Saccharomyces cerevisiae S288C: one gene and its partner. The gene in region 2 interacts genetically with the main gene of each other region. Each region holds a gene or a part of one and is shown on either strand. Other genes may lie near its edges.

Region 1 (5,948 bases), on a different chromosome or scaffold from region 2:
AACGTTATGTTATCATATCTGGAATAGATGTCTCTGTTTATTAGCTTGGGTATACAATGCCTCAACTTTTGTGGAACCTTACTGAATATATTATCCCATGACATTGTACTAATTTTGCTTTCAAACTTGTTGTACTCCAATTTATATTCACTAGTCGAATTTTCGCTGCGAAACAAGTCTTTACCAGTGTACAGAAAATATATCAACAATCCTAAAGAAAAATAATCGTTCTTAAAGGTTAGGGTATTCTCAAAAACAATTTCTGGGGCCGTATAATTCAATTGTAAATGCATAAATGGGGGAACTCTGGGATCATATTGAGGTAAGAAGTATTCAGAGGTATTTGTGCCTGGTGGTATTTTTACTAAATAGCCTAAGCCGGAAATTTTCCAATCAGAATTTTCATTGATAAATATTGCCCTAGGTTGAATGTTCAAGTGTACAAAGCTTGCGCGGTTATGAACAAAATCGAGTGCATTTACCAGTTGCAATATACCTCGCTGTACCACGATATTATCTTTAACATGACCTTGTAAGAAATTCTGCTCTTCATCATCGGTTTCTCTGAAAACGGTCTCCAATGAGCTAGTGACAAACTCGGTGACGAACATGAAATTCTTGCTATGTTCTTCTAATGGTTCAATTAAAGTCAGAATATTTGGGTGCTTGAGCTTGGCCAAGTTATTGGCCTGGTTTCTTAATATTTCGTACGCTTCTTGTATTAATACTTTATCTCTGGATCCAGATTTGGATTTAATAATACCATAGTGTAACAAATAGTTTTCGAACTGCTTCTTGTCAAACATGAATATCGATACTTTGGAAGGTGAAGATGAAGATGAAGATTTGGGACGACCGGTGTAAATGCTCCATGGTTCAGCTGTGAAAGTAGGTGATGATGAAAATGAATATTTTGACGTGATACCCGTCTTTGAGGACCAAAACATCATCCCTGCTCAATCAAAGTGTGTCCTATTTTCCTTAATGATACGATATTCGAAGTTACACTGTTTTGAATACTTTTGTGCGCTTTAATATGTGCAAGATTTATTTGTTTTGATATTAACTTCTTTTTGGCTTCTATTTTTTCAAGACTGCAGTACCCTTTTTTTCACGCAACTTCAGGTTCGAACCGAAGAATAGTTTAATTACGTTTAGTTTTCCTACTGAAACTTTTTTTTTAAAAGACCCTGAGAATTTCATCTCGAGAATAATGAAGACCAATATATAAGTAATGAATCATAAAAGTACAAGAGCAGGATCAAAGTTGAATGTCTCAACAACAGGACAAGAAAATGAGTGAAGAAGGAGCATATGTACGGGTGAGCATTTTTCTTGTATAAACATAAACTAGCTGAACATCAGCTCAATCGGACATAAAAATAAGTTTCCAATTAGACATGCACTTGAACTTGTAATTATTTATCGACCAAAAAGAGTAAGTTAATTTTCACATAATCTTGGAAAAGCCAGAAACAAGATTCGAGAGCTGGAGAATGGATGATGAATCAAGCAATGTTGAACAATCAAAATAATATAGGGTGTATAGGTGTTCACGTATTTCTCTTTATGTTTAGTGGGTGTGCCAAAAAGGACACTGAAAGGGTAAGAATAATAACTTAGCATATTGCTTTCGATATATAGATGTTAATCATACAAAGGCAAAAACAAAGCGTGAATCAGCATTTGTTAACAGACAATTGCAAGAAATGTCGCTGATCAGCATCCTGTCTCCCCTAATTACTTCCGAGGGCTTAGATTCAAGAATCAAACCTTCACCAAAAAAGGATGCCTCTACTACCACTAAGCCATCACTATGGAAAACTACTGAGTTCAAATTCTACTACATTGCATTTCTGGTCGTGGTTCCCTTGATGTTCTATGCTGGGTTACAAGCTAGTTCGCCCGAAAATCCAAACTATGCAAGATACGAACGTCTCCTATCTCAAGGTTGGTTATTTGGCAGAAAAGTAGACAATAGTGATTCTCAATATAGGTTTTTCAGGGACAATTTTGCGCTATTGTCAGTTTTAATGCTAGTCCACACTTCTATAAAACGCATTGTACTTTATTCAACAAATATCACTAAATTGAGGTTTGATCTGATATTTGGTTTGATCTTTTTAGTGGCCGCTCATGGTGTCAATTCGATAAGAATTTTAGCCCATATGCTAATTTTATATGCCATCGCCCATGTACTAAAGAACTTTAGAAGAATAGCCACCATCAGCATTTGGATTTATGGTATTTCTACGCTTTTTATTAACGACAACTTCAGAGCATATCCATTTGGTAATATTTGCTCTTTTTTAAGCCCATTGGACCATTGGTATAGAGGTATCATTCCAAGATGGGATGTCTTTTTCAATTTTACTCTTTTGAGAGTCTTAAGTTACAACTTGGACTTCTTAGAGAGGTGGGAGAATTTACAAAAGAAGAAAAGTCCATCCTATGAATCAAAAGAAGCTAAATCAGCCATTTTGCTCAATGAACGTGCTAGATTAACTGCTGCACACCCCATACAGGACTACAGCTTAATGAATTATATTGCATATGTTACTTACACGCCACTTTTCATTGCCGGCCCCATTATAACATTCAATGATTATGTTTACCAATCGAAACATACCTTGCCATCAATAAATTTCAAATTCATTTTTTACTATGCGGTGAGATTCGTTATTGCTCTCTTATCTATGGAGTTCATTTTACACTTTCTCCACGTTGTGGCAATCTCAAAAACCAAAGCGTGGGAAAATGACACACCTTTCCAGATTTCCATGATTGGCTTATTTAATTTGAATATTATTTGGCTAAAACTACTGATTCCGTGGAGGCTGTTTAGGCTGTGGGCTTTGCTAGACGGAATCGATACACCTGAAAATATGATCAGGTGTGTTGATAACAATTACAGTTCACTAGCATTCTGGAGAGCTTGGCATAGAAGCTACAATAAGTGGGTTGTCCGTTACATATATATTCCTCTAGGTGGTTCAAAAAATAGAGTTTTGACATCACTAGCAGTCTTTTCCTTCGTAGCTATATGGCATGACATCGAACTAAAGTTATTATTATGGGGTTGGCTAATAGTTTTGTTCCTCTTACCAGAAATTTTTGCTACCCAAATTTTCTCTCATTATACCGACGCAGTCTGGTACAGACACGTTTGCGCTGTCGGTGCTGTTTTCAACATATGGGTTATGATGATCGCTAATCTTTTTGGATTCTGCTTGGGCTCTGACGGTACTAAAAAATTACTAAGCGATATGTTCTGTACCGTATCTGGTTTCAAATTTGTAATTTTGGCAAGCGTTAGTTTATTCATCGCAGTACAAATAATGTTTGAAATCAGAGAAGAAGAAAAGAGGCACGGAATTTACCTAAAATGCTGAATGCCAAATTTACGAATATCAATTGTATAACACTGCTATCATGTATGTATTTTTATCTACTAGTACAAAAATGAAACCGAAAATAAATAAAAAAATATCGAGAGGAAGCGTGAAAAGCTAATGAACATATAATATGAAAATCTGCAGTATGATGGATAAAAATCCTCTCGAAAACTCAAATACGTTTTTTATATTCACCAGGCGTTTCAAATTTATTCTGGATCCACAGTCCCTTTTTTCTAGATCTTGCCAAAAATTCATAATATCGATACTTATCTTCTCTATCATCAAATTCTGTGTTTACTTTACCCTCATAAACAACCGCTAATCCATCCTTGAGCATTTCTAAGCTTAAGTCTTTCCACCCACCAAACCAGTCCCAGTATGACACTCGAGCTACACAACGGTTGTACTGATCTATAGATAAAGGCTTGACCCATACTTTCTTTCCCAAAATTCGGTTTTGTAACCAAATTAAAGCTTCATTACCAAACGGTTGAGCTGGGTTACCGAAATGTGCTCTTTCTGGGGCATCGATTCCACATAATCTTATAGGAATAGTTGGCAGGTTTTTCCTATTTTTGTAAGGTACATTTAGCTTCAAGAACTGGCTTTTAGCTTTTTGTATTTTACTTTTGGTGGACCTCCCATGCGTAATCCAATTGAAATTGAAAAACCTCATATTTCTGCTATCTCCAACAAGCTTTTCTGCCGTAGAATCATTCTTGATCATTTGTGGGACGGGTCGTAACCATCCCCATCCACCTCTTATACCACCTGGCATGTGAAAGAAATGAAAGTTGTCCCCGTCACCTACAGACGTGACTTTACCATAAAGCCAGTGTTTACGAAATATTCTTCGCGGTATATCATTTGTTCTTTTGAATTGAGTTAAATACCTTTTATATGTGTAGATCAATGTTAAGGTCGAACCCGTAAGGATGATGGAGAGGACAGCAACATCCGCAGATTTTTTTGAATTAGAATCACCTTCCCTCATATAAGTGCATTTATGCCCCCTTAATAGCTATGAAAAACTGGGCTTCTTTTTATATCATGTGTGACTTATTCTGTAATTTGTTTTTATTCTTCAACACAATTTTTTTTTTTTTGCATACCAAAGGAATCATAAAAGGTCAATGATGAAGAAAGATAAAAGAATTTTGTGACCAACAATTATGTCAGCGGATAGGAGTTTATCATATTATAAAACCGATTACTATTATCTATTAGAAATGTATATACACTTATTTGGCTTGTCGCTGTTCCCACAGACGCAATGTTATTGTTGCCAAAAAGCACGGAAGTTGACCTCTATCTTCCACCCATAGATTCATGAGATCATCCCATCCTTCTATATCTGCATCAAGGTTAGATTTCAAAGTGTTTTCATTTAGATCAGCAATCAAATATTTTTCAGGTTTGAAACAGGAAAATATTTTCACACGACTATCTTGTTGAAATTCCAATTTAAAACCTAATAATGAGTTTACAACGTCAATAAACTCCAAAGATTTATTATTGAAAACTTGCTTTAGTCTGGAAAATCTTTTATTTGACTTAAAAACTTCCTGTTCGAACTGTTTCAACTCGAAATTTAGTGAATCATAAACAGAAATGGGTACTGTTTCCACTGCTGGATTATTCTTTTTCAATTCGTTAAGTAAATCTGCATTTTCCTTTTCTAGAAGAAGTAATTTGTTTTTCTTGATAAATTGATCTTTTATGAAGGGGCCGTCACGTAATTGCAGTATACGTATTTTTTTCTCCTTTAGTTTAGTTAACTTTTCTAATTTTTCTTGTAGTAGCTGAATTGTAGTTTGTGCTTTACTCAACTCCCTCGAGACACTTACATTTTCCAGTTGCAATTCGTTGAGCCTCTGTGAATAATTTAAACCAATTTGGTCACTTGTCAACTTCCTCTTTTTTCTTTGTGTTTCTACATCATTGGAATTTGATAATAACTGATCGTTTAGCTTCTTTAGTTCGTTTGTTAAATCTTCTGTCTTATTTTTATAAGTATCGATCAAATTATTCATATCTTCGTTTACGTTCTTGTTTGACGCATGTGTTTCACTATTTTCGACCTCTAGTAAAGCATTATTTTGTGCGGAATATAGGCCATCTAATTGTTCGCGCAGTAATCGACATTCTTCGAAAGATAAACTCTTCTGTTGTTCTAACTCGTGATTTAATCTTTTCAAATTTACTATGTTGTTTTCATAATTCTTGTTCAAATCTAGTATTTGGTTTCTCTCTAAAGCCATTTCATCATTCAGTAGCTTTAAATTGTTATTGTCCAATCTTAACTTATCATTCATATCTGTCAAAATTAAACATTCCTTTTTGGTAAGTTTCCAGTCCCGGATAATCTCTTCAGGGTTATTTCTTATGTTATTTTTGGTTCTGTTGTTATTATTAATATTGTTGTTATTACTTGTATCATTATTATTATCATTATTATTATCATTTTTATTATTATTATTATTATCATTGTTGTTAACATTGTTATCATCATCATCGTCACTATCATTATAAATTTCCCATTTGGTTAAT
Region 2 (6,403 bases):
TTCTATCATGTCGCTTCCAGATGGAAGATGGACTAAAGAAGAGCTTCGCTCAGATTCTGATTTCTCGATAGAATGTCTTAACTGTAAGCAAAAAATTATAAGCAAAGATAACTGTCAAGTTTTGAATGATATGCCTTCAGAGTTTTGGTTCGAGTTAATGGATTATTGGCATTGCCACAAACCCGATGTTAAGGAAGACAAGTCTTCCTACACAAGATTTGAAACGCTAAAACCATCTAAAAACGAAATTTTAATTGGAAGCTCTTATTTTCAAGGCACTCCTGCGACTTTTGAAAATGTAGCGACTACAAAGGAAAATGATAATGTTTTATGCATAAAGTGCTCAGCAGTGTTAGGCCAAGTAACTGCTGGTTCGCTTTATAAACTACACAAATGGAAACTGCAGTTAATACGCAGTGGAAACACATACAAATTTCCTCCAGAATGTGACATTACAATTTCTTTAATAAACGTAGTTAAGGCAAACTCTTGTCGTTACGTACTAGTAAAATGTAAAACGGAATCATTGCTAGTTTGGATATTTTCCGTTGACATTGGAGTCACATTGACGGGAAACAAAAGCTTCAAGAGAGCGATGAAGTTGCTTTACACAAACAGCGTTACCACAATAAATCGATGTCTCAATCGACAAGTCGTCGAGGAATTAGATTTCCAAGAAACATCGTTTAATGCTTTTTACAGCGCCCTTCAACATACTAATGCACTTTTACCCTCAAGCATGAAAAAAATTGGTGAATGGACCATTAGCTATACATCACTAATCTAATTTTAAGAACCATTCTCTTTCAAATTTGTACAAATATTGTCATCAAGTAATAAATAGCTTCTTTTTTTTTTTAACATACAGTTGTAGAATTAACTTCGTTGGCCGAAGAATTGCACAACAATAGCGTTTGTTATATTACTAAATATAGGGGCTTTCTTGGGAACGAAAGTGAAACAAACGCTTTTAATACAATGAAGGTCGAGAAATCATCTAAAGGCTTGGAAGTTTTAGTGAGGACACAGGAGGATGATCTAGAGGGGTTCTCTTTCCTGGAGATTATGGACCGCGTAGACCCTTTACCATTAGACTTCGAGAATTACAAAAATTTCAAAGAGGGCATTTACTATATGTGTACACACGATGGCACAAAGATCGGTTTCGTGTTGAAATTTGCGATAAATGAAATGGAGACTGTTTGCTCGGAAATCTTCGAAGAAACCTTCCAATTAGATGAATCTAGACATGAGTTAAGGTTTAAAAGTGAAGATTTTGATCATAGAAACAATCTAATTGACCAATTGGCTCGTAAAATGTATTTAGAATCATCCTTGAGTGGTGTGAAGGGCTGGAGAAACGAGAAATATGCCGTTTGGGTTAATAAAAAACCCTATGTACTGGTTGAGCGTGCAGTAGCAGGTGTTCTTGGTATAATTACCTACGGGATTCATATTAATGGTTATGTGCTAGATCCAAAGTCAAAAAAAGTTCAGTTTTGGGTTCCAAGAAGATCTAAAACGAAACAAACATGGCCGCTAATGCTTGACAACATTATCGCCGGGGGATTAGGTTATCCTTATGGTATCTATGAAACAGTTTTGAAAGAAAGCATGGAGGAAGCCAATCTAGAAAAGAGTGTTATTGAGGATAACATTAAAGCAACTGGTTCAGTTTCCTACCTTTACTTTACGGGTGATATTTCTGTAACGAAGTTCAATAAGGAATCAGATTTTATCGTAGGGGAAGTACAATATGTATACGATCTAAAACTCAGCGAAGACATCATTCCAAAACCAAACGATGGTGAAGTCGAGAGTTTCAATTTATTCAGCCTGCAAGAGACGATTAATGCTTTAAGAAAAAAAGAGTTCAAACCAAATTGTGCATTGGTAATGGTAGATTTCTTGATTAGACATGGCTACATCACTCCAGAAAATGAGCCCAATTATCTTGAACTAGTAACTAGAATGCACAGAAGGTTACCATTCCCCACCTTGAATTAACATTCAAGAGGTTACCGGTTGATATCTAAACAAATATAAAGAATTTTTTTCATATATACACATCTAGGTACATACTATCTAAGATCAAAAGTACTCTATTTTGTCACTAAACGGAGGAAGGCGTTCAGTTCGTTTGTGGTTAGTGAACAGAAAAAGTTACTTGGAGAAATTTAATTCTATGTCAAACCACTCTCTAGAAACAACTTCCGATGGTGACAAGCTGACATCTCCATACACTAGTGGTGAAAAGTATACAAAAAACCACGCAACAGCACAGGAGACACACACCAAGAAGACGGTATAGGGTTTAACGTAGACCTTAGGGTTCCGTTCATATGATGCACCTGAAATATCCTCGTCTTTCTCCAAATCCAATGATTTGCAATCACTGAAAATTACTTCCCATAGTGCTCCTGAGAATAAGCACGCGATTAAATGAGCTGGTAAGTAATGATGCAAAAACTTTTGACGCGCCATTAAAAAGAATGGAAAATAATGACAGCACCAGGAGACGAAGAAAAACATCAATGGGCCATACAGCTTTTCTCTGGTCATCTTGTTTAGGGCATAATAGCCACGATGTCTAGTAATTAAATCGGCCACGATAATGCCAACAAAAACAGCCAATGATATGACTTGGAACCACCACCCAATGATGTTACCAATGAAATATATTTGCTTCTTTTCGTCACCGTTGGTCCAGAACGAAACACCACTTAAACTACCGGGCCAACTGTAAGGTTCAGAGGCAAATGGATGCTCTGATGATAGTTTATTGTTATGTTCGAACATAGATTTTTGAGTTTCAATCCATTTCTTCAAGAATGGTAATGGCTTAACAACCTTCGGAATATATACCTTCCGAACCTCGTCCAGGTTAACAATTTCATCAACAACCCAGTTATTTGAAGGATCAATAACTTTTTTGTTACCATTAATTTCTTGTTGTTGGAACCCCCAATCCGGTAACAACTCGTCGTTGTGAGTCCACAAAGCTACGGAGGTATCAACGTGGAAAAGACGGAAAGAAACCGTTTTACTCTTTAAAACGTGACCTTCATCTGATTTTTTCAGTGGTTGGAATGCAAAAAGTGTTTCAGGATATAATTCCCCATCACCTTCTTCTAAAGTTACTGTAGTGATTTCTTCATTGGTAGGGTAAAATGGGGAGGCGACATCATGGGCTAACAAGTAGGTATCGGTGGCTACATGTCTCAATCTTATATGCTGGTTCAATAGAACAGCTTGTCCTTTACCGACATCACTGCCATGGGGTGGTAACACTTCCCATTGATTGTTGAAGTCAGGATGCGTGTAACCAGTAACTTGTTGACCAGCGGATGAGATACGACCATCTTCATACCGTTGTGGGTAACGTGCCAAGTGAGAATGTAAGAATGCGTCAGTATCTTGATGTTTGATAGTGATAATATCAAAATAATTGACGGTTTTAGAGTCAACACTTAAGGGAGAGTCCTTAAGTGTTTCTTGAAATTCAGCAGACATAAATGCGTCGCCAGGACCTGAAGTATTCAAAACGGTGAAATGAACCCAGAACCAAAACAAGTAAATCACAAATGGAATCAAAACTAAACCATTCAGCCTTTTACTAAAATGTCTCATGAACTGCCTCAAGGACAAACCCGCCTTGATGTCCAGTAATTGCCATAAGTTGACCACAGCAGCAAAACCAATAGCGGAATATGTCATAACACCAACATATTTTGTGGAAATCACGAAGGATAAAGACAAACCAGTAGCGTGTAACCAAATATACCAACTCCATGTAAAAGGTTGACGCAATTGGCACTTGTAGAAACGAACGTAACAATACATAGTAGCAGCAATAGAAATAATCAAGATGGCATCCAGTAAAATCAGCCTAGTTTCTGTAACATGCGCAGTATCGATTGCAACCAAGAGAGATGCAAACGCACATGTAATAGCCCTGAAATTCAGTTCCTTCAAAGTGTTGAACATAATTGGTACAGTCAATGTGCCCAATATCGCGTTGAAAGAACGGTACGCGATATATGGAGCTGGATGAGTTTCATAAGAATACCCAATCTCATCAAACTTAAAGGAACCATCATAGCCACATAACCAACCAATGAAGGCAATCATCATCTTAGCAAAAGGGGGATGAACGTCAAAGAAATAAGACCTTTCTAAGTAATACGATGCAAATTTCCCGAAATGTACCTCATCAAAAACAACTTCTTTTGGATACCAGATCTTATAAAATCTAGCAGCAAACGCTAATAAGGTAACAATTGTTACCCAAAAGCTATAACGTGATTCCGGTTCCGGTAGTGGCTGCAAGAGCCAATGTTCAGCAACTTGTTCACATTTAGGCGCGGCCTTCGTGTACTTCAACGAAGGATCGTCTACGTCCTTAGTGGAAGGTGGTAACTTCCCATGGTTACGTTTTTTGGGCACAGACATCTGTACTTCTGTGGACTGTCAGAAAATATCTTGGTAAAATATGTATCGACAAACTTCTTAGTACAGTTAATATAGAAGTAAGGATTCGAGTGAGTAGTTTTGATAAAGCGCGTTTCATTATGCATATTTTTCATTTTTTATTTTTTTTGTCAAGAAATACACGAATAACATCACGAAATTTATCGACAGAATAATGGAAGAAACTATTTAAAAAGACGGTAGAGACTAAAAAAGGAAAGAAAGGACAAGTAGGAAGATCAGCGTACGATGAAAAGCATTTTCAAGGTTAGAGGATGTGTATCGCATGCTGCTCAATTTTGCCAAAAAAGAACCGTGGTGAGTACCGGCACTAGTAACACCGCAACAGCCGGTGCAGTGAGGAAAAGTTTCAACAGTACCGAAACCAAGCCTGTATTTGCAACAAAATCGGAAGCTGGCAATGGAAGCCACATGAAGGAATATTCAAGCGGCATTAACTCTAAACTCGGCGGGACCCCTTTGGAAACCCGCAGCACCGCCGATGATTCTTTGAACAATAGTTATAAGCAAGTCAAGGGAGACATTGACTGGTATACTTCATGGTATGGCCTAGGTATGAAGCCCTTTGAAGCAAAAGTGCAAAAGGATCTAATCGAGCCTCTGGACCCTAAGGATATAGAAATCAAGCCAGATGGTTTGATATACTTGCCTGAAATTAAATACCGTAGAATACTGAACAAAGCTTTTGGCGCAGGCGGTTGGGGGCTAGTGCCAAGATCACAAACAATAGTGACATCCAAGCTGGTCACTAGGGAGTACGGTCTTATTTGCCATGGTCAATTGATCAGTGTGGCAAGAGGCGAACAAGACTATTTCAACGAAGCCGGCATACCAACTGCTACAGAAGGTTGCAAAAGTAATGCATTAATGAGGTGTTGCAAAGATCTCGGCGTCGGTTCTGAATTATGGGACCCTGTTTTCATAAAGAAATTCAAAGTGGATCATTGTACTGAGAAGTTTGTGGAACATGTTACCACCAAGAGAAAGAAGAAAATTTGGTTAAGAAAGGACAGACAAGTTGAATATCCTTATAAATAGTCAATATGCGAACCATATAAGCTAATTTTAGTAAGTATATATATTCCAATACAATCACACACACACACACACACACACACACACACACATACGCATATATTGTGGTAGTGCGTAGTGTCAGTACGTCTTATCATACGCCTTCTATTTCAGGGTTAGCGTATTTTTACTATCAATATTACAATACGGATATATATACACACACCTAATATATATATTATACGTTATATTACTGCCAGTCGAAAAAGGAAGATACGATGTATTATTTTAAAATTCAATTTCTAATAAACATTAATGGAGATATACAAAAGAAGAAAATAATTAAGTTGTTATGAAATTTATAAACCTTGTTGAGCTCTTCTTCTGTCACGTTCTTCAGCAATAGACAACTTGATACCCTTACCCTTTGGCAAAGAAATGTAAGGCTTACCTTGTTCACCGATGACGAAGACATTGTTCAATCTAGTGACGAAAGTGTTGTCCAAGGAGTCCTTGATGTGAACTAAATCGAAACCACCATCGTGTCTTTCCTTGTGAACGATAGTACCGATACGACCCAAGTTACGACCACCAGTAACGTAAACCAACTTACCGGCATCGAACTTGATGAAATCAGTAATCTTACCAGAGGCCAAGTCGATCTTAACAGTGTCATTGACCTTGATGTTTGGGTCTGGGTATCTGATAGTTCTACCATCGTGGGTAACAACGTATGGAACACCCTTCTTACCTAATTGAACCTTCTTGACCTTACCCAACTTGTAAGAAGCTTCTTCATCGGTGATACGGTGGACAGCGAATCTACCCTTGACATCGTAGACCAATCTGAAGTTTTCATTGGTGGCATCTAGAGTGATGACATCCATGAAACCAGCTG

The links.
Region 1: mutations in PMT4 (region 2) and GUP1 together harm fitness more than expected from each alone (negative genetic interaction), as found in Saccharomyces cerevisiae (3 studies listed by BioGRID).

The regions. Positions count from the first base shown.
Region 1 is NC_001139.9:348,060-354,007, reverse strand, and holds GUP1 (O-acyltransferase), read left to right. Parts: upstream 1-1,709; coding exon 1,710-3,392; downstream 3,393-5,948. Other genes in the region: SCY1 (Scy1p), read right to left, coding at 1-950; LCL3 (Lcl3p), read right to left, coding at 3,568-4,392; coiled-coil domain-containing protein MAD1, read right to left, coding at 4,640-5,948. UniProt on the Saccharomyces cerevisiae protein: Membrane-bound O-acyltransferase involved in the remodeling of glycosylphosphatidylinositol (GPI) anchors. Acts only on GPI-anchored proteins, but not on free GPI lipids.
Region 2 is NC_001142.9:696,163-702,565, forward strand, and holds PMT4 (dolichyl-phosphate-mannose-protein mannosyltransferase), read right to left. Parts: upstream 4,453-6,403; coding exon 2,164-4,452; downstream 1-2,163. Other genes in the region: IPA1 (putative polyadenylation protein), read left to right, coding at 1-787; YJR142W (uncharacterized protein), read left to right, coding at 979-2,007; MGM101 (Mgm101p), read left to right, coding at 4,720-5,529; 40S ribosomal protein eS4 RPS4A, read right to left, coding at 5,865-6,403. UniProt on the Saccharomyces cerevisiae protein: Protein O-mannosyltransferase involved in O-glycosylation which is essential for cell wall rigidity. Forms a homodimeric complex to transfer mannose from Dol-P-mannose to Ser or Thr residues on proteins.